2 linked regions of the Notamacropus eugenii genome follow. The protein of the gene in region 2 interacts with the protein of the main gene of each other region in a pairwise test. Links are inferred from orthologs where the notes say so. Each region holds a gene or a part of one and is shown on either strand. Other genes may lie near its edges. The genes, in order: OAS2 and CLK3.

Region 1 (10,417 bases), on a different chromosome or scaffold from region 2:
ATCTGGAGCAATAACCTGTTCTGTTTTCTCTTCCTTGGGGAAGATTCCAGAGAAGTCAGAAGTCAGAAGCCTCAGGCTATGATGGGAAATGATTAGAATTCTGGGAGAAAGCTAGGAGCAGACAGACAGAAGGGAAATGATACATTTTGTCTATCTTTGATCAGCCCACAAACCAGGCAGATTATGGGTTAGAGAAGGGCTGTATGAAAGAGTGAATTGTAGAATGGGAAGAACATGGAAGTTTAAACTCAGTTTTTGCCCTTGACTGCCTATGTGACTATGACAATATCCATTAACTTCTCTCAACCTGTTTCCTCACCTATAGATGACCTCAGAGGTCCCTTCCAGCTCCAAATCTATGGTCCTAAAGACTCAGGCAAAACAGTCAGTTTGATCTTATATGAAATGAAAGCAAATGACTAGTTTTGACTAAAATCTCACCTTCTACAGGAACACTTAATTTTAGAGCCTTCCCTCCATTAATTATTTCCTATTTAGTCCAAATATGACTTTTTATGTATATTGATTTGTTTGTTTTCTTCCCTATTTGATTGTGAACAGGGGTCATCTTTTGCCAAGCATTGTATCCTCTGTGCCTAGCACAGTGCTTGGAACATAGTAAGAATTCAGTAAATGTTGATTGACTGACTGACTAGCTTACTTTTACTTTCTTCTGTTACTCTGCCTTGAAATGGTTTAAAAATTAAGTAGTTATATCTTAGAAAGTCATTTTTATAACAAATATTAAATTATTTTTATAAGAAATAAAAAGGATTCTAATACTGGCTCTACAAACAGGTCATTGTGTGACCTTGGACAAGCACGCTACCTCTCAACTTCAGTTTTCTCATCTGTAAAATGGAGAGAATGATCCTTTACTCTCTTGGGTATCCTCCACTAAAGACCCATCTTTATTCTTTCAGTGGCCATCTTATTACCAAAGTCAATGCCTTCTATCACCTGCTGACATGGTATCTGTCCAGGGTACTTACCCAAGACACTGAAGATGGGAAGCACATCAAAGGTAATGCATAGGTCAGACTCGGTCAGTATCAACTGGTGCTTATCCTCTACTACCTTGACTTTCCCCATGGGTGCCAGCAGCTTCAGCTTTATCAGGTCTCCCTCAAATCGTTCTTTGTGGAAGATGACAAGGGTGCCATCAGAGTGGCCTTTGAGAACAGTGTCTCTGCCATAGGACCCACCCTATGAGAGAAAAGAAAATGTGTGGTGGGACCAAAAGTGAGAGGGATCTCCATCACTTATGAGACAGTCAGTGGGAGGAGACTCCAAGCAAGAAGAACCAGCCAGTCCAGCTCTCTTTGGCTTCTCCAACACCAGAATTTTGAAATCCTTCTCTATAGTCCCAGCTCCCTTTGATTGTCCTAGAAAACAAATATTAGTAATAGCTCATGTTTCTAAAGGTTCTTTGGTTTCTGAGGGATTTAAAGACAAACACTGAACAGTCCCTGACCCTCAAAAGGCTTCTACTCTATTCAACATCTTGGGGCGGGGGGAGAAAACAAGCATTTATTAAATACCTACTATGTACCAAGCACTTTAAAAATATTTCATTTGATCCTCACGATAACTCAGCTGTTATTATTTCCTCATTTTATCTTAAGCTGAGGCAGACAGAGAATAAACTGGTAAATGTCTAAGACTGGATTTGAACTCAGGTCTTCCTGATTCCAGGCCCAGTACTCTATCCACTGAGTCACCTAGCTGCCCAAGGAAGATGGGGGTTCTAAGAGATGGTGATGAGGAGGGAATGCACCCCATGGTAACCACTATGTAGAGTCTACAGAACAGTTTAGTTGGAGCACGGAATATGTGAAGGGGACCAAAGGGGAATGAATTTGGAGGAATCAGAGCCTGGAGCTCACTAAATGCAAGGCTGAAGAGTTTGGATTTTTTCCTGGAGAAGAGGGAGCCATTGAAGATTTTTAGGGAAAGGAGTGATATGAACCACCATAGAGCTTAGGATCTTTTGTCAGTTTTGTGAAGAACACAACACAAGGAGAAGGAGAAAGATTGATTGGCAGTGGGAAGATCACATGGAAGATGATTTCAGGCATCCAGGTGAGGTGATAGGGGCCTGGTCTGGGGTATGAGAAGCAAGAAGGGACTGTGACAATGTAATGATGGGAACTGTGATGATGGAGCTGACAAGACTTGGCAGCTGACTGGCTGGGCAGAGTGATGAAGAGGAAAGAACTGTGATGTGGGGGATGGTGGAGACTTCAACAGTAACAAGAAGGTTCAGAGGAGGAATTTCTGGTTTAGAGGAAAAGATAATGAGCTCTCTTTTGAATTGGATTAAATCTGAGTTGCTGACCAGACATCCAGGCAAAGTCTAGTGAGGTCAGAAATGTAAGGATAAAGGACCTCCATGACTGCTGTCTCTCTTACCTCCCCATCCATCCCAGCTTTCTCTCATAGTGTTTTGTTCTGAATTAGATGTAGGAGAAAATCTGTGTGCGTTTATCCTTCATTGCTGAAGAAGACCATGACATCAGAGAAATAATAACATGACTTGCACTTTGTTTTGAGTGAGGGAGGGCTGTGCAGGTTACCAGCCTCACTTCTCCTCCAGAGCCATCTGAATCCAGTGACCTGTCTGGAGATGACCCAGGATGAGGGAATTGGGGTTAAGTGACTTGCCCAAGGTCACACAGCTAGTGAGTGTCAAGTGTCTGAGATTTGAACTCAGATCCTCCTGACTCTTGCACTGGTGCTCTATTCACTGCACCACCTAGCTGCCCCTGGGGAAAATCTACCCCTTAGTTCAGCCAAGAAAAGGCAGGAAGATTTCAAAAGTAGATTTGCTAGGAAACAAAGGGATGATCAAAACACAATTTTTAAAAATCCCCAAAGCAGTCTACTGAGCATCTTATCCCAAGGGCACTAATAGAGCCATCAGTCCACACTCCTGTTCATCTCCTAAGAGAAGAATATTTAGGATAGGCTGTGCTCTGCGTGAGTCCTTGGGGTGGGGATGGGGGGGCACAGTTTCCCTAAAGTTTCTTCCAGCTCTGACATTCCACAGAACTATGAAATTCCCTTTCTGGTCTCCCACTCTATTTCTCTTTCCTAAGTTACAGAGTGAAACCCTACCCTACAATCATCCAATACTGATTAGGAGGCAAGGAGCATCCATGGCACATGTTCTGTGCCCACTGTTGGCAACAGCACCTAGATCTGATCAGTTACAGCTCTGGGCTGGCAGCCTCATTCATCGCAGCCTCCATAAATGCTTGACTGAGGCTGCCTAAATAAGACTACAGGAAAAAAGCCTCTAAGAACAAAAATTGTGGCTGGACACCTTGTTTTTGCCTCTATGGAGAGCATACATGACCAGCACAGGTTAAGGGACAATTAGAATGGTCGGTCCTGTAGAGGTTGTGGGTCCAGAGGATCAGGGACCAAGATTCTTGTGTGCAATGAGTCCAGAAGGTGAAGATAAGGATGGAGAGAATTCCAGGAATGGGGGACAGTCAGTGAAAATGCTTGGAGCTGGGAGATGGATTGTCTTGTAAGAGGCCAGCGCGGCTGGATTGTATCAAACATAGTGGGGAGCAAGACCAGAAAGGTGTGTGGGTGGGGCTTTGAATGCCAAACAGAAGATTTTGCATTTGATCCTAGAGGTGAGAGAAAGTTTACTGAAGAGTGGGAGGGACATGGTCAGACCTGAGCTTTGGGGGAAGATCAATTTGACAGCTGAATGGATTATGGTGGGGAACCACTTGATGCAGAGAGGCCAAACAGAAGGTTATTGTAACCTACTCTTCATCTTTGTGGTCCCCATGTGACCCTCCCTCCTCACCTTTCCTCTGAAATGTTGCTCTAGTCTCACTCAATCCTCTATCCTTTCCAATCCCTGCCCCCCAACTTCCAAAGTAATATTCCTTAAACACAGATCTGATCATATCACTTCCTGTTCAATAAACCCCAGTAGCTCCCTATTACCTCTAGGATCAAGTACAAATTCTGGCATTTAAAGCTCTTTATAACTTGGTTCTAACCTACCTTTTGAGATTGATTATACATAATTCCCCTCTAAGCACTTTTTGGTCCAGTAAAACTGACTTTCCTGCTGTTCCTCATTTAGTCTCCCACCTCTGTTTTTGCACGGGCTGTCCCTCATGCCTGGAGCACCCTCCCTCCTCACCTCCACCTCTGAGAATCCTTGTTTTCCTCAAAGATCAGATTAAATTCCACCTTCTACAGTCTACGCAGCCTTTCCTGCTCCCCAGGTGTGAGGACCTCTACCACTGCAAATCCCCACCCCAAATTATTTTGCATATTTTGCATATATTTATTTGTACATGTTTTCTCTTCAGAAAATGTAAGCTTCTGTAGGGATGGGATTGTATTTTTTTTTTTTTGTAGCCTTAGAACAGTACCTGGTACATAGTAGTGAGTACTCGATAAAAACTTGTTGTCTTGATTGATTTTCTGCCCCTTTTTTCTTTCCCCTCCTTTCCTCTTTCCCCATTTTCTCCTTTCCTCTCCCATCTCTCCTCCTTTCTCATCCCATCTCTCTTCCCTTTCATTTCTTCCTTCCCTCATCCCTCATTTCCCTCTCCCCTCCTCTTTCTTCTTTCTTCTTCCCTGCCCTTTTCCTCTTCACCTTCCTTTTCTCCTTTCCCTTCCCATCTCCTCATTCCCCATTCTTTTCCTCTCCCTCTTTTCCATTTTCTCTTTTCTACCCTCCTCTCTCCCTCCTTTTTCCTTTTTTTCCTGCCCTTCCCCCCCTCTCCTCCTTCCTTTTCTTCTCTCTCCCCTCCCCCATCATTTTCCTCTCTCCCTTCTCTTTTCCCTTCATCCCGCCTTTCCCCCTCTCCCTCCCACTGCTTACCACAGCTATACCCTTCACTTGAATGGGAGGATCCTGTTTCTCCAAGAACTCACAGATGTCCTCGATACTTTTGTCAATCTGCTGCAGATGCTTTTCTTGGGGCTGTAGCTCATTCTGGATGAATCGATCTAGATTCTCAGCACGCTCAAAGTAAAGTGCTGGCTGATCGTACCACCAGCTCCACAAAGATTTTAACATTATCCCTCCTTCAAAGTATTAACTTTACAGGTAAGCTAGCTTGTGGACAAGTCCTCTGGCAGAGGCTTACTCGGAGCAGAAGGAAGAAATGAAATGGTTTCATTTAGGTTTCAGTTTCTGTCTGCCATTCCCGCCCCCTCCCGCCCCTTTCCCCGGCTTCTGCACTTCTGATTAGGCTTTGGACTCTTGTATAAACTTTCTCCTCCCAATCTCTGCTTATATCTCAGCATTCTGTCTGGATATCTGCTTAACTTCCTTTTAAAAAGATGCTGCTAGAGACAGAATCAGTAGCAGTCTGTCAGAGCTTAGAGGGAGTGTTTTAAGAGCTTGGAGGACCCTGACCTCTGTTTCTTTCATAAGACCCTCCAACTCTCAACTCCAGGCATTTTCATTGGCGTAGCATGCTCTCCCTTCTCATCTCCACTTCCTGACTTCCCAGCTAAAATTCCACCTCCTACAAGAAGCCTTAGAACAAGGAGTGTTAGAGCTGGGAGGGGCCTTAGAACAGGAGATGTCAGAGCTGGGAGAGATTTCAGATGTCAAATCTAGACTCTAACTTCCTAATTTCATAGAGGATGTGAGCAGAAGAGGGTCTTTTTTCCCTTTGGGAAAGTTCTAGGTCCTTTGTTGTGTATCACCTGAAAGTGTATTCTTCCCTCCCTGGTCGGTTTCTGAGTTTCACTGAGACATGCCCAAGTATAGTATAAAGAGCCTTCAGTTTGGAGGACCTGGATTGGGGTGTTCACAAAGTCATAGACTCTCAGAGTGGGAAGGATCCTCAGGGCATTTGTCTAAGCTGTAGATACACATGGGGCTTCCTGGGGAACATCCTGATAGTCAATTATCCAGCCTCTGCCAGAAGAACTTCAGGATGAGGAAATAACTCCCTAAAAAAAGCCCTTATTTATGCAACTTATGTACAGAGTACATCATGCAAATGGATAGGGTGGGCAAACCAAAAGCTGGAATTAAGGTTGCCAGGAGAAATATTAACAGTCTCAGTATGCAGATGATACCACTCCAATGGCAGAAAGTGAAGAATTAAGAAGTTTCTTGATGACATGAAAAAGGAGAGTGTAAAAACTGGCTTGAAGCTTAATATTCAAAAAAAAGAAAAAACAAGAAGAAACCAGATCTTGACAACTGGCCTCTGAATTGTTGTTATTTTTCATTTTCTGTCCTCTCTGACTCTCTTGGACCCCATTTGGGCTTCTCTTGGCAAAAATACTGGAGTGGTTTGCCATTTCCTTCTCCAGCTCATTTTACAGATGAGCAAATTGAGGCAAACAAGATCAGCGTCAGACAGCTAGTAAGTGTCTAAGGTCAGATTTGAACTCGTGAAGATGAATCTTCCTGGCTCTAGGCTATACACTATGGTGCCACCTAGCTGGCCCCTGGTTGTTAAATAAGGTGTAAAATGGAAACATGTTTGAAAAAGTGTGTGCTGTTGTTGAGAGATTTCCACCACCATAGGATAGAGGGTAGAATGAGATAAAAGAGAGATCCAGAGAAAATATTCTAGGGGTACTTGAGATAGCTAGATGGTACAGTGGATAGATCGCTTTCTCAGACATTTAATCACTTGCCCTCTAACTGCCTTAGTTTTCTCATTTGTAGAATGTGAATAATAAAAAGTGCCGATTCCCCTGCCCAAGGTTGTTAAAAGGATAAAATGAGAATATTTGTAAAGGGCTCTACAAATCTTAAAGTGTTATATAAATGCTAGCCATGATTATTTGAGAAAAGAGAAAAGACTTTCAGCTGAGGGTTCAAGGAAGGGAGGCTAACTGGAGGAGGTGTCATACCTGACTTTCCTGCTTTGGGTATAGAGCTGAACAGTTTGTTCTGGATATCTCTGAGACGCTAGGATTTTGAGCTTCCTTGAAGGAAGATGAGGATTCTGGAAGGTAGAGGTGAGGAGGGAGTCTATTCCAGACCTAGGGTTAGGCCTGTGTCAATGCATGGAGGTAACAGTGTATTGAGTTTAGGGTAGAGGTAGTAGACCAGTCTTACTATAGTACTTACCTGGAGTACTTGAAGCAGAGTAATGAACAATCAGACCAGAAAGGTTGGCTGTAATCAGTTAATGTAGGGTTTTAAATAGCAAACAGGGGAGTTTGTAATTCATTCTCTTTTTTTAAAAAAACAAACTTTTAAAAATGAAAGAAATCAATTAACAACTAATCAATGAACAAAAATCAATGAACAATTTTTTCTTGTTTCCCATTTCTCATGCTCCAATTGAAAAAATAAAAAGCAGAAAACAAAACCCTTGTAACAAATACACCTAACCAAGCAAAATAATTTCCTGTATTGCTATGTCAAAGAATGTACATCTCTGTCCGCATCTTGTATCCATCCATATCAGGAAAGTGGTAGCCAGCCTGCTTTGCACTGATCCACTGCATCGATCACAGTTCTCAAGTCTTCTAAAGTTGTTTGCTTCTGAAATATTATTATTGTATCGATTCAACTTTGTAATTAATCCTAAGGGCAATAGGGAATGATTAGCATTTCTTGAATGGAGAGGTGACATGACTGGGTTGATGCTTTAAGGAGATTATTCTGGTGGTTATGGGGAAGAAAGATTGACAAGGGAGAGACTGGAAACAGCAACTGTTTTAATAGTTCCAACCAAAGGTGCTAAGAGTCTGAAATAGTGGGGAGAAGGGATTGAGAAGTGGAGGCCATGAGTATAGACTCTTTTTTCCCATAGGATTTTGATTATGATATGAAATCTGTTGTAGAGGTAGAATCTGTGACTTTGACATTTATTGGATATGGAGAGGAAGATGATGTTGAGTTTGGGAACCTGGGTAACTGGAAGAATGATGGTACACTTGACATAAAGAGGAAAATTTGGAGGAGAGGTGGTGGATTTCATCAAATAATATATTCCATTTTGGCCATGGTGTGTTTGAGATGCCTAAGGATCATTCAGTTGGTGGTGCCTAAGATGTACACACACACACACGCACATACACACACCTCTATCTATCTATCCATTCATCTATAAATATACATATATACAAAATATGCATATCTAAACACCTGTATCACACACACACACACACACACACACACACACACATATATATATATACACACACATACACATGCACTCCTCTGGGAGTTACCTTTATATAACAGATAATGATTGAACCCATGGAAGTTAATGGGATCATCATGGAAGAGACTATATAGAGAGAGGAGAAGGGGCTCTAGAACAGAGGTGATTTTCTAGGAAGGAAACTCCAGTTCACCAGGTAGGTAGGAAGAGAACCAGTAGAGAAACTATGTCATGAAAAACCATGAAGAAGTGGGCAATTAACAAGGTTAGGAGATCAACAGTGTCAGACACTGCAGATAAATCAATAAGTATGATGACTAGAAATGATCGTTGATTTAATATCTATATTCTAGGAGATCACTGGCACCCTTTGAGGTAACAGTTTGCAAGAGGTTGAGAAAGTAGAGGCAGTGAATGTAAACTATATTTTCTAGGATTTTAGTTGTGAAAGGGAAGAAAAATCTAGGATGACCAGTTGAGAAGATGGTAGAGGGAAGTTGTTTGCTTTTTTTTTTTTAAAGAAAAAGAAGGACTACACATGTTTTTATGTGGCAAGAAGGGAGCCAATAGATTATGAGGGAAGGAGGAAGAGGAGGGGAGGGAGAAAGAAAGAGAGAGAGACAGAGAGAGGGAGAGATGGACAGAGAAAGGAGGGAGGGACAGACAGAGAAAGGAAGAAGAAAAAGGAGAAGGAGAAGGAGAAAAAGAAGGAGAAGAAGGGGAGAGAATGAGAAGGGGGAGAGAGAGAAACAGACAGTGAAAGGGAGAGAAAAATTCAGAGACAGAGGAAAACAGAGAAACAGAGAATGACAGGTTTTCAAAGGACTTGAATGTCATGTAACACTGAGTTTTTGAAAGGCTAGTATGGACTTGATGTTTCTTTCATTGGCCATAGGGAAGAAAAGATAAGAAAGAGGCAATTAGCACTCTGAGGTTTTGAGCATTAGGGAATGGGAGATGGGTGGTGTTCTTGGCAAAATCTTTTGCGAGGAAAGGATGTAGGAAGAAAATGATATGAGCTTGGGCCAGTCACCTTTGGACTTCAGTTTCCTTATGATCTCCAAGGTTCCTTTCAGTTCTAGAATTCTAATGCCATATATTTCATCCTAGGAGTTGTGGAAAGACAGGTACACCACTACATTGTTGGTGGAGCAATATATTGGCATAATCATTCTAGAATGTAATTTGGAAGTATGCAAAGAAAGTAACTAAGATGTCCATCCCTTTTCACCCATAGACTCTTCTGCTAGGCAAATATCCAAAGGACGTCACTAAGAAGAAGAAAGTCTCCTATGATCCAAAATATTTTTAGAAGCTCTTTTTATGGTGGCAAAAAACTGGAAACACAGCAGATGCCCACTGATTAGGGAGTGGCCAAACAAACATGGTACATTATTTTAATGGCTTTTAAGAAACAAACATAGAGAGAAGCACGAAAAGACCTTTACAAACTGGTAAAAAGTGAAGACAGCAAAGCCAGAAAATCAAAATACACAATGAAGGCAACAATGTAACTAGAAAGAAAAATGGCCACAAAAAAAAGCAATAAATAAGTTAAAAAGTTGCAAAATGACTAAGATCAAGTTAGGTCCCAAAGGCAAGATGAGAAGACACTTTCCCCTGCTCCTTTACAGAGGTCAGTCCATACATGTGCAATGTTGCATACAAGGCCGGATTTTTCTGATATGTTACTAAGTTTTTTTCATTTTATTCTCTTCCTTGTTAAAACACTCTTTATCCTAAGGAGCTTTTCTCTGGGGAGGGAAAAGTAGAGATATAGGGGAAATCTAGGTCATGTAAATACAAAAGATAGTAAAAATCCATTTCCTGCTTCCTTTTCTTCTTCTTTCATTCCCTCCCTCCTTCTCTTCCTTCTTTGTTTCCCTCCCTTCCTCCTTGCTTCCCTTTCTTCCTTCTTTCCTCCTTTCCTCCCTCTCTTCCTCCTCTTCCTTTCTTAAAATAAAACAACTTTGCTGTAATCAGTGACCTCTGGGAGGGGAGGAGAAGGGATAAAATGGGAAATCTGGTCAACATAAAAGCAAAGCATCAATAAAATTCATTTATTTTACAGATTCCCTTCTACTTCTAACATTCTATATTCTAAGGGCCCTCTTAGCTCTGATATGCTGTGACGTTACTCTAGCTCTTCAAGGTTTGCAAAGCCCTTTACAGATATTATCTCATTTGCACTTCACAACAGCACTGTGAGATACATGCTTTTTGTAGTTGTTCAGTTGTTTCAGTTGCATCCAATTCTCCATGACCCCATTTGGGATTTCCTTGGTAGA
Region 2 (11,271 bases):
GAATAATAACCCTGGTATTACTGTCTATTTCTATTTCTACGAACCAAGTCCTTGGTAAGCCTGAAGGTGATATATATAATTGTGAAACATATAATGTTGTACATTTTAGTTCATCAATCCAACTGCATAAGCACAGAATTTGAGAAAGCAGAAGTGGAGGCTACTCACCAAGAGGTCCTTCCTCTCACATCTCATCTCACATTAGTCAAATACCTTCCCCACTATCTCCCTCCTTTGCCCATCACATAAAAAGGTGACCTCTGTCCTTGTCAAGCACAACCCTTTTACAAGTACCCTCCTGCCTTGTACTACTACACCTATCTCTATAATTCTATAGGAGTCCTTAAACACCTCCCTTCCTTCAGATACTAGTGCCTTCCCTCTGAGATGACCTTCCTTTTACACCATATCTTCCTTTTTATTTCTAGTTGTTTTCTCCCCTGGTAGATTGTGAGGTACCTGAGAGCAAAGACTGATTTTTGCCTTTCTCTTAATCCCCAATTGATGGGCATCCCCTCAGTTTCTAATTCTCTGCCACCACAAAAAGAGCAGCTATGAATACTTTTGTCCTTTCTCTGTTTCTTTGATGCACAGTTAGTAGTCTGTTGGGCATAATTCCAAATTGCTTTCCAGAATGATCAGACTAGTTCACAGATACAACTGTGCATGAGTGTACTAATGCCTCTCTACCATTTACCATTTTCCTTTCCTGTCATCTTAGTTAATCAGATGAGTAAGAGATAGTGCCACAGAGTTGTTTTGATTTGTATTTCTCTAATTTTTAGTAATTTAGAGCATTTTATATAACTGTTGATAGCTTTAATTTCTTCCTCTGAAACCTATGTCTTTATATCCTTTAACCATTTGTTAATTGAGAAATGGCTATTATCCCTGTAAATTTGACTCAATTCCTATATATTCTAGAAACAAGACTTTTACTAGGGAAACCTGTTGCAAAGATTTTTTCTTCCAGCTTCCTGCTTTTCTTCTAATTTAAGTTGCATTGATTTTGTTTATGCAAAAAACATCTTAATTTCATATTATTAAAATTACCTATTTTACCTCCTATGAACCTCTCTATCTCTTCTGGCAACTACTTCTACAGGTCCTTCAACCCCTGTCCCCTCAGTAGCCACAGCTACCGACGACCCAAAAAATAAATTTTCCATGATCAAAGTTGTTGTTACTGTCATGTGATTCAAGATCTGGAATGAGTATGGTTTTTATCTGTGGAAATAATAATGCATTACCATTTGCTTTGTTGCCATACCCTAAGAATCATTAGACCTTTACATATGAAATTTCCCATGCATGCTGTCTCTCTCACAATTTTTTGAAGGAAAGGGCTATCTTGCTTTACTATTTATATTCCTAATGCTTAGCACTTGGCACATTGCTCTTAAAAAGCAATTTTTCACTCCTTCATTCCTTTCTTGCTGTGCTTCTGACTCTATGGACTTCATCACCTGACTCCCTCCCCACCAGCCTTTCAGCTGTCTTGAGTGTGTTGTTTTCTCCCACTAAAATGTAGTCTCCCTGAGGCTAAGGACTATTTTTCTTTTTATTTGAATACTCAGAATTAAGCACAGTGCCTGGCACACAGTGAGTATTTAATAAATGTCTGTTAACTGTTGTTAACCTCATTCATTTGTCAACTGCAACTTACAGTTTTAAAGAGTTGCCTAGACCCTATAACAGCAAGCAAAGTAGGATTTGTTTGTTTGGAGTTGTTTTCCAGGCTCAGGCTAAATTGTGAGCACCTTTGAACTCTAAGAGTTCACAACTGTGCTGAGTCATGTAGGTTTCATGCCTATTGATTCTGAGTCAATCAGGATCCGAGTCTTCATTATATATACTGGGAGGTTAGTATTTTACTGGGGGGGGGGGGATGGAGGATGGATTATGAATTATGAATTATGAGAAGGATCTTGTGATTGCCTGGTCGAGACTCTGAGTGGTTGTATGTTCAGCGCCCCCTCCCGTACTCCCACTGCTTAGATGTAAAAGCTCTCTGGATCTAGGAATGTATGTAAAGCGTATAGCAGTGTTGCTTTGATTCAGGCAGTAAGAGCCCTGTCAGTTTTTATTTCTCTGTATTTTCTCTGTTTGTTGAATAGATAGGAGGTGTGGTAGCTTTGGAAATGTAAAAGATAAAAAGATGTGTCTCGAAGCATTTGGTTGAACTAATTAAAGTGATTGTTGACCCCTCAAATTGCCTTTCCTTTTATAAATGCAGATCTAAGAACCCCCCCACCCCATATGTCAGAGTGCTCACTGATACAGACCCATGGTGTCAAACTCAAATAGAACCAGGGACCACTGATCCATATAGGATCCCTGCAGGCCACATATTGATTTAGCTTTAAAATCTAATATTATTGGTACTTTTTATTTATTGAATATTTCCTAATTACATTTTAATCAGGCTCTAGCCACACTCAGGAGTGTTAGGGCTACCTGGGATCAGTGGCTCACATGTTTGAATACCTCTGGTCTAGAGCATTGGAAAGTTAAGTGACTTTTCCAGAGTTTCTATGCCTTGAACTCAGGTCTTCCTGACTTTGAAGCAAGTGAGTGATCTACTATGCCTTGCTGTCTCTGACATAGTACAAAATAGATACAAGAATACTGGATTTGGAACTAGAGGTCCTGGGTTCAAATCTTGATTCTGTATGACCTTAGGCAAGTCTTTAACTGATGTAAGCCTCAATTCTTTCAGACCAGAAAACTTGTAAGCTCTAAATCTATAATCCTGCGACCCTGTGAGATCCTTTGTGTTAGTGCCAGTCACAGCTTGACAAATTCCACCCCCAGGTTACTATTGTCATCATCTATCTCCACTCATTCTTGTGTCCTGCTGAAGAATGTCACACTACAATGTCCACCAGGTCTGCTAAAAATTTATATTATCTATTCTTTATTGCATCCCACCTGTTGTGATGCAATTTATTTTGTTCTTTCATGACTGCCTCCTTCTAAGGCTCATCGCAGCAACTATTCCAAACTTTTTCTTTTCTCAAATCCATAGTAACCACTCCTCTCTCTCTCTCTCTCTCTCTCTCTCTCTCTCTCTCTCTCTCTCTCTCCCCCCCCCCTTCCTCTCTTCCTCCCCCCCTCCCCAAAGGACCCAACCACTAACCATGACTTCTGTGTTTCCATCTCATCAATGGCTCATAACCCCCTTACCCCATTCTCTATTCTCTCCTGAGAAGTAGAGGTCTCTGCTACTTTGGCTCTTGGTTCCTTCTTTCCAAGTCTCTACTAGGAGCTTGCCACCTTGATCATTCCCTCTCTCTGGTCCATTGGCTCCTTCCCTGCCACCTACAATGATGCCCAGGTCCTCCCATCCCACTCTCACAATTTTGTCACTTGACCCTCTAATTCTCTCAAACTTTCTTCCTCCATCTCTCCTCCCTTCCATAGCCAAGTTCCAGGAAAAGATTGTTACATTCTTTGCTGTAATTACGTTTTTATTTCCCAGTCACTTGTCAAACCCCTTGTAATCTGATTTCAGATCCTGTCACTCAACTAAAAATGTTTCATATTTTATTGATATTTTTTAAAGCATCACTTTTATTTCAAATATGTCCCTTCCTCCCCTCTCCATAAAGATAGGTTGTGCAACAAAGAGTAAAAAAGAAAAAAAAAGTTCATCAAAATTAACCAATACAGGAATCTAGTTTGATAGTAGATATGTTCCATGCCCACAGTCCTTCACCTATCCTAAGGAGAGAGGGAGAAAGGTGTATTTTTTCACAATGTTTTGGAAATGTTATTGATCATAGTATTCCAGAAATCTTTTTGGTTGTTCTCTACACTTGCATGGCTACAGTCATACCAATGATCTTTTAAGCCCCAACTCTAGTTCTCATTTAACTTAACCTCTGCAGCTTTTGACATTGTCAACTCCTTCCCCCTCTTCCTGAATTCTCTCTCCTTTCTTGGCTTTTGGGAGGCTGCTGTATTTGTTTCCTCCTACCTGTCTGAGGGCTCCTTCTTAATCGCCTTTGTTGTACTATATCATCCGTTTGCCAACAACAAGCTTCAGTGTCCTTGAAGGCTCTGCCTTCAGCTCTCTTCTCTACTCTCTGTACACACTCTTCCTCTTCCTCTTGATGATCTCAATCTATTCCCATGGGTTCAATTATTATCTCCATGCAAATAACTCTTGGCCCTCAAGTCTCTCTTGAGCCCCAGTCCCACACTGCCAACTAGAGTGGGGAGGAAGAATGGTATAGTGGAGAGCACATTGACTCTGGAGTTATAAGACGGGTTCAAATCCTTACACCTACTATCTGTGTGACCTTGGTCACCACATTTTAATTCTCTAGGCCTCAGTTTCTTTCATCTCTATAATAAGGGGGTTGGACTAAATGATGTCTAAGGTTCTTTTCAACTGTATATCTATGAACTGTAAGATGACCATAGCTACACTGCCCATCAGTTCAAACTCTATGTGTCTAAAATGGAGCTCATTATAGATTACTCCCCAAACCATCCTTCCTCCAAACTTCCCTGTTTCTGCTAAGGACACCACCAACTATCCAGTCACCCTGTTTTCTATTTCTGTATTCCCAGTCCCAAACATAATGACTGGCAAATATTAGTCACTTAAACACTTGTTGACTTCTTGAACGTTCTGTAGAGTGCCCCCTGGCTCCCCTTCTTGGCATTATGCTTCATATTGCAGGGGTGCTCTAGGCAAGGGGAGCATAATCTACCACCCTTCTCTGTTTGCTCCCTACCCATCAAAATATACTCTGAGTGAGAGAATGAATAAATCAAGACTTGGCAGGTCGCCTCTCAAAGGGTGCTGGCCCATTGTTTCAGCCTTGTTAGCCCCCCAAAGGGAGGGACAAGATCTATTTATAACTCCTAGCTCAGGCTCTCTGGCAAACAGGACCCAAATACAAATTTTTGAATGACAATAAAAATAATGTTATTGCTGAGGGGTGGAATGTTTGTACAGGCCATTTGCATAGGGCCTTACAGCTCACCAAAATTTTCACACCTTCTCTCCTTAGAAAAATAATAGCCCTTCAAGCATTAAAAACTCTGATGACAACGCAGTTCCAGAAAAAGAAGCCTGACATCTTGCCAGAGAAAGGGATGGACTTGAAATATAGAATGAGACATGCATTTTGGACATGGCCCTAATGTGGGAATTTGTTTTGTTTAACTTTGCATATGTATCACAAGCATTTTTTTCTTTATTGTTCAATAGGTAGGGATGGGAGAGAAAATATATTCTTATTAATAAGAAAAAACAAAGGGAGAATGGCCCTTTAAATTAGATCAGGGATTATTATACCCATTTTAAAGATGAGGAAATGGTTTTGACCAAAGATAAGTACGTACTAAGGGGTAGAATAAAGATTCAAATCTAGGTCTTCTGATCTCTAGACCAGAATTTTGTGGATTATTTTTTTCACTAAATCACCCTGATGCAATTCTTCCCTGGGCAGGACTCAGCTCCCTCAGAAAGACAGCATGTCAGGGTGTCAGAGCACAGGAAAATACCTGGTACCTGGAGATGGAAGCCTTTCTGCAGTTCTTACAGCCGGTTGAGGACGGTGTTTCCTCCAGAAGACCCTCCCTCTCTAGATGCTTAGTGACAGTTCCCCATTGGCACAATCCCTAGTCACTGTGATATGTGAAGAATCAGCAGGAGTTGCTGCATCATCTTAGCAAAGTGAAGCCCATGCAAGAGTATAAAACAAGGGTCATGGGAAGAAATGACTCCACAACTGAAGGGGTCAGGAAAAAGGAAGGGGACATTTGGGCTGATTGCTAAAGGATACAAAGGATTCCAAGAGACAGAGATGAGAGCAGATTGCCTCTGCAAAGGCTTGGAGATGGGAGATACACACAGGCACTCATCTACTCACACATACAGGATGATGAGATACAGGCTGGTGACTCAGAGGACAGAATAATCACCCAGGGCTTGGCTAGTATTGCATGTGTTTTCAAAAGCCCTGGCATTCTGAAGCCTATTTGAGGAGTCAGTCAGACAAAGAACCCCATTTCTCAGACAGCAGCTGAGGTTCCATGAAGGGGTGACTGGCTCCAGCTGGCACACAGCTAGCTGCTCTGGCAGTGGTAAGAGGCCTTTGGGTTTCGTGGCAGAGGAAAGGGGGCTTAGCTTCTTGGGGCCAAGGCTTTACATCAGCCTCAAGCCTAGAGCAGTTTCTAACATTTCTTTTCTCCTTTCACCTCCTCTTCTGGACCAGGGGAAACATCCTTCCTCCTTTCTCCCCACCCCGATCAGTTCCAGATGGGGGCACCTGGCAAGGTTGGTGTTTCTCTCCTTTCTTATGCTCAGCCACCACTGTGGACAAGGTGGTTGGGGCTTCTTGGCCTGAGTCCTTCAGGATGAGAAGGACTAACAAGGAGAGAGGGGCTAATTCCTACTGGTAGGAAAATGCAGCATCACAAAGTGGCCCCGTGTAATCAGTGTATGGAGTGGGTTATGCCAAGGCTGTGGGTGAACCGGACAGGCTGGCACATGAGGGCGTTCTGCTCAGCTAGAGATTAACTATAGAGATCTTTGTTGAAATCCAGGTGCTTTCTTTTATCTGCTTCAAGTATTTGGTGAGAGGTAGTGGTTGTGCTGTGGGAAGAGCCATTAGGCTTGGAGTCAGGACTGAGTGGTGGCAACTGTGTAGCTCGGGGCAAAGTTCTGGGCCCCGTTTCCACCTCCTTGAGGGGTTGGTCTAGACTAGCTTCCTGTGTGGGGCTAGGATGGGTCTTGGGGAGCCTTTAGTTAGCGAGGCCACTTGTTTCCCCAAGTCTTCAGGGCCGGACAGAGAGCCGAACTGGCTTCCTCTTCTGGTCAGTCTGGAGAGGTCCCCGAACGGCGGCCCCGAGGCAGCCTTACCTAGCAGGCTTAAGAGTCAGAGGCTTGGCAGAAGCACAGGCAGGTGCCCAGGGCTCCCCAATTGTCTCCGTGGGTGCAGCCAGCTGCCCTGAGAGATGGTGAGCTCCCCATCCTTGCAGGTATTCAACCAGGAGACTGACGACCCAAGAAGGGACTGATTCCTTTTAAACTAGTAAGGAGGTGGCTTCGGAAGCCTCTTGGGGGGTCTTTGTGTGGCAGGGCAGGGAAGGGCTCCAATCGCTATGAGTCACACACAACCCAACCAGGTCTGGGGGGTGTCTGGGGGGATCCTGCAGGTGGGGATCGCAGTCCCGCTCAGGTATGTCGCCACGTGGGGAGGGGAGGGCCACGGAGGTGGGCCCAGGAGCGGACGTTTGGGGAGCCGGGCCGCCGGAGGACCGGCCAGTCCTCCAGGAACAACGAATGCCAGCCTAGAGCGGCGGCGAAGAAGCGCTGCGGAGCCACTCTAGGGGCGGGGGCGGGGGCGGGGAGGAGGCGAGAGGGGGTGTGTACCGGGCCGTGGCGTCGGCACGCAGGGCGGGCCAGGAAATTAGAGGGCGGGGCCTCGGGGGCCCGAACGAAGGGACGGAGGGGGCGGGGCCTCGGCGGCACGCAGGGCCCGGCGGGGCGGGGCCGCAGCTGCGGCGGGGGGAGGGGAGCCCAGGGCAGGGGAGGGGCGGGGCCGCCGCGGGCGGAGGCCGCAGCCCGGAGCCGGAAGCGGAAGAGGCGCCAGGAGCTGGGAGCGGGGCCTAGCTGGAGCTGGAGCGCCCGGGAGACGGTGAGAGCACCCCCCTCCCGCCGTCATCGGCATCCCCTTCCCCTCCTCCGCCCTTCCCTCCGGCCTGGTGCGTGGGTTGCGAGCGGGGATGGCGGGAGGCCGCGGCTCCTCCCCCTTTGGGCGCCCTCCCTTACTCCTGACCTCTCACCCCTGACCCCGCCAACCCCTATTGGGCCCTCCGACCCCACCTCGACACTACCCTCCCGAGGACCTCGGCTCGGGCCTGGGGGCGGCGGGAGACCACGACCTTTAAAGCCCTCCCGCGCCCTAAAAGTCCCACCCTCTGGAAGTCGCCTTCCGTTCTTAAAAGTCCTCCCTCCGCTGCCCGTCACCCCCATTCCCTTCTCCACCCAAATCCGCCCCGCTATTAAAGTCGCCCCCCGCCCTCAAGATTCTCCCCCGCCCTTACTCCCCCACTCCCTGACCCCGTCAGGCTTCCACCTTAGACTCCCCCATAACATTTGCCGTTAACTCCTTCCTTTCTCCCCCTTAAATCCCCCCAGGCTCTTAAAAGCCCCCCGCCCTAAATGGCCAAGCCCCCCTGCTAAAACTCTTAAAATTAATTCCCCCCGTGTCTCCCCCCATGGACATGCCCAAGGTGGCTCCAGCTGAAGTCTCCCCTCCCCCATTGTGGATGCCCTAAACCCGGTCCACTTATCTTTGAAAATCTCCGTTTTCTCCTAAAATCCCCACCCTCTTCTGCCCCTAATCCTTCCTCCCCCTCCTAAAATCCGAGCTCCGTCCGGATCAATGCGGGGCCTCGCCTCCCTGCCCCCCATCCCCCCCACCTCCGTCACCGCCCCCCCCCACCCTTCCCAGATGGGCCACCCGGGCTAAAATGCCCCGCCCCTTTGCCAATATCGCGGCCCCTGGAATCCCACCCACTAGATACATTTCACCCTGGAAATACAATTATACCTTCCCTCTTCCTTCCGAAATTAACGTGTGGGAAAGATCCGCGCTCCCCAGTGCCCCTTTCCTCAGGCTGGCCCCCCCACCCAAGTTGTTAGCCTGCTGAGCCCACTGCCAGGTGTGCCCGGGGCTCCGGCAGATGTTTGGCTTGGTCTCCCTTATGCCGCCACGCCCACCCCCTTGCTCTGGCCTGGTACCGTATGGCAGCCCGTGGAAACTGAGACTGTGGGTTGGGGGGCGGGGTGACCCACAGAAAGATATGCTGCAGAACCCCGGTGAAGGTATCTCAGCTATTCCAGGAAAGCAAGGCTGGGGAGTCCCCAAAGTAAGATAAGTATTCACAGCTGGGCCCCAGCTGGGTCCTGGGCTGAGGAAAAGAGCAGTGTTTTTGTTGTGATAATTCCAGTCCTGAAAATGAAAGAGATACTTGAGGCTGCAGCCCGGGACTTGAACCTGGTGTTTTCTTACTTGGGGTATGAACACCTCATATCTTTTGCTTTGCCGCTTTTCTCACCTTTGACTATGTGGTTTGACCTCCCCCTCACTCAGCCTGGGTAGAGCAGAACTGGGGTAGGACTTTATAGAGACAACCCCTTTGGCAAAGCAGAATTGGCTGCCTTTCATCTTCCTTCCTCTGGCCCGTTTTCCAGTGCCCTTGAAAAGAAAAATGTTCAACCTCTGTGGTGTGGATTTGAGAGATGGGGGGAGATGAAGTGCCAGCAGTAGTGGCACCAGCAGCCCTCCAGCATAACTGTGGGGATCCTGGGGGAGGGGAGAGGGCAGGTGCTAGCCGTGGCTCAGCTAGATGTTCTCGTTGGCCCAGTTTTCCTAATGCCAGCAACATGTGAAAACTGACAAGAAGGCTGTGCCCTGAGTACCTCTGAACAGACAGCTGGCATCTTAACAGCGTGGCATCTGGACTTGGTTTGACTTTTCCCATTCCTCAGCATGCGGTAGGAAAACTAGAGCAGGTTTGGAAGTACTTTTAAAAGCTGTTCTATTCCATAGCTCACCTCAGAAACTTGGTATTTTAATCTGTTGGGCCCTCCTGGGGTGTTAATGAGTCTGAGAAATGGGCCTTAAGGCTAGCAGACTTTTGGAGGGAGGTGAACCTGGAAATCTTTCATGTCAGATCGAGCCATGGGCAGCTTTCCACCCACTTTTTTGGAAGTGAGTTTTAAAATTCTGTATTCCTCTGAATAAGACTACCCCTAACCAGGTTTTTACCTCTAAAATGAAATCTCTTCGAAAGGAATATACATACACACACACAAACTCACATACTCTCTGTGTGTATACACATATATATGTATGATTATTTTTCATTATTAATTCCTTTTGGATGCTAAGATTTAAGGAGACTTTTGGGTGTGTGTTGCCAAAGGGAGGCTAACAGGCTCTGTATGCTGTTGCCATATGGTTTCTCTCTGTCTGCTTTTCTGTTCTGGGTCATTTGAGTTCCATAGAGCCACTTTGGCAGTTGAAACCCAGCAGCCTGGGTTTTAGTGGGCAGCTGAGAGAGAGATAGCCCTATCTTTGTGGAGGTAGGATCTCCTCCTGCCTAAGCCACCCTCCCTCCCAGTGGTCCTGCCCAGCCTGGGCAGTGAGGAGAAGGCAAAGAGAGTCGTTGGGCTTTGCAGTAAGATTACCTCTCTAACGTAAGGGCTGGCCCGCAGGTAGGAACTTTCAAGGGATTCCACCACCTTACCAGTTTCAGGGGCATCCACTGCAGACTCTTCTAGCTCTTAATACCATCTGAGAGACCAGGAAGAGTTTAACTATGTGTATGGAACTAAGAATATTATTATAACCTACATAGGTTTGTTATAAACTAGATTTGGGGGGAAACCTAGCAGTGTTATTGGAATCCATTCTGTACTTAGGAATAGAGCTGGCCATTGATTTAATGGACAGCAGGATGTCATTTTGGACTGTACAAGACATTTCTCTAAAAACTCCATCTAGGACTTGGAGTCAAGAAGACCAGAATTCAAACTCTTGTCTCAGTCACTATGTGTGACCTTGGTGAGGCATTTCACCTCAGCCTTAGTTTCCTCATCAGTAAGATTGGGATAATAATAGCATTTACCTCCCAGAGTTGAGGATAAAATGAGAAAATGTGTAAAGCACTTTGTAAACCTTAAAGAGTTATATAAATACAAATTACATCACCATTATCATAATCATTATTCCTGGACTCCTCTGATATCTTGCTATGGCCTGGAGGTGAACCAGGTCCTTCAAAACTGTGCTCATGAAACTCCAACTCTGGCCACGTCTTTCTAAGTTGAAGAGTCTTCAAGGACAAGGCCAGGGACAGACTTTATGTCAGAGGACCAGTCTAGTTAAATGTGAAGAGGCTTGTCACTGGGGTAGCCATAGGATGGCAAATATTCTTTGGCACCTTGCCAATAGGGGTTTTGCTCAGTATAAATAATCATAAGATTACCATATCAATGAAACCAGATTTTTAAAAGCACAAAAGAAACACTCTACAGTCTACCGGGACATGAATGAGGGGATGATCTTAGAGGCTCAGATAGTAATCTTTAGCCTAAAGCAGATTCCTAAATCATTTCAAATCCTGTGATTCAGAATGAGAACCTGCGTTAAAATGTCAAATTGAATCAGGCCTGGCCCCTACTCTGGCCACAGTGAAGCATTCTTGGTGGCTATTAGATACATATTTTTATTCCCTAGC

Evidence for each region.
Region 1: the proteins of CLK3 (region 2) and OAS2 interact in binary tests that used the Homo sapiens proteins (3 or more experiments, as listed by UniProt). The two-hybrid records come from large-scale screens. The link is inferred for Notamacropus eugenii from reciprocal best matches to the Homo sapiens genes CLK3 and OAS2.

The regions. Positions count from the first base shown.
Region 1 is NC_092875.1:33,197,795-33,208,211, forward strand, and holds the start of OAS2 (2'-5'-oligoadenylate synthase 2), read right to left. Parts: upstream 5,179-10,417; 5' UTR 5,060-5,178; coding exon 4,862-5,059; intron 1,207-4,861; coding exon 993-1,206; exon of another isoform or gene 924-992; intron 1-923.
Region 2 is NC_092872.1:241,551,257-241,562,527, reverse strand, and holds the start of CLK3 (dual specificity protein kinase CLK3), read left to right. Parts: upstream 1-6,705; 5' UTR 6,706-6,975; coding exon 6,976-6,999; intron 7,000-7,552; exon of another isoform or gene 7,553-7,658; intron 7,659-11,271. UniProt on the Homo sapiens protein: Dual specificity kinase acting on both serine/threonine and tyrosine-containing substrates. Phosphorylates serine- and arginine-rich (SR) proteins of the spliceosomal complex.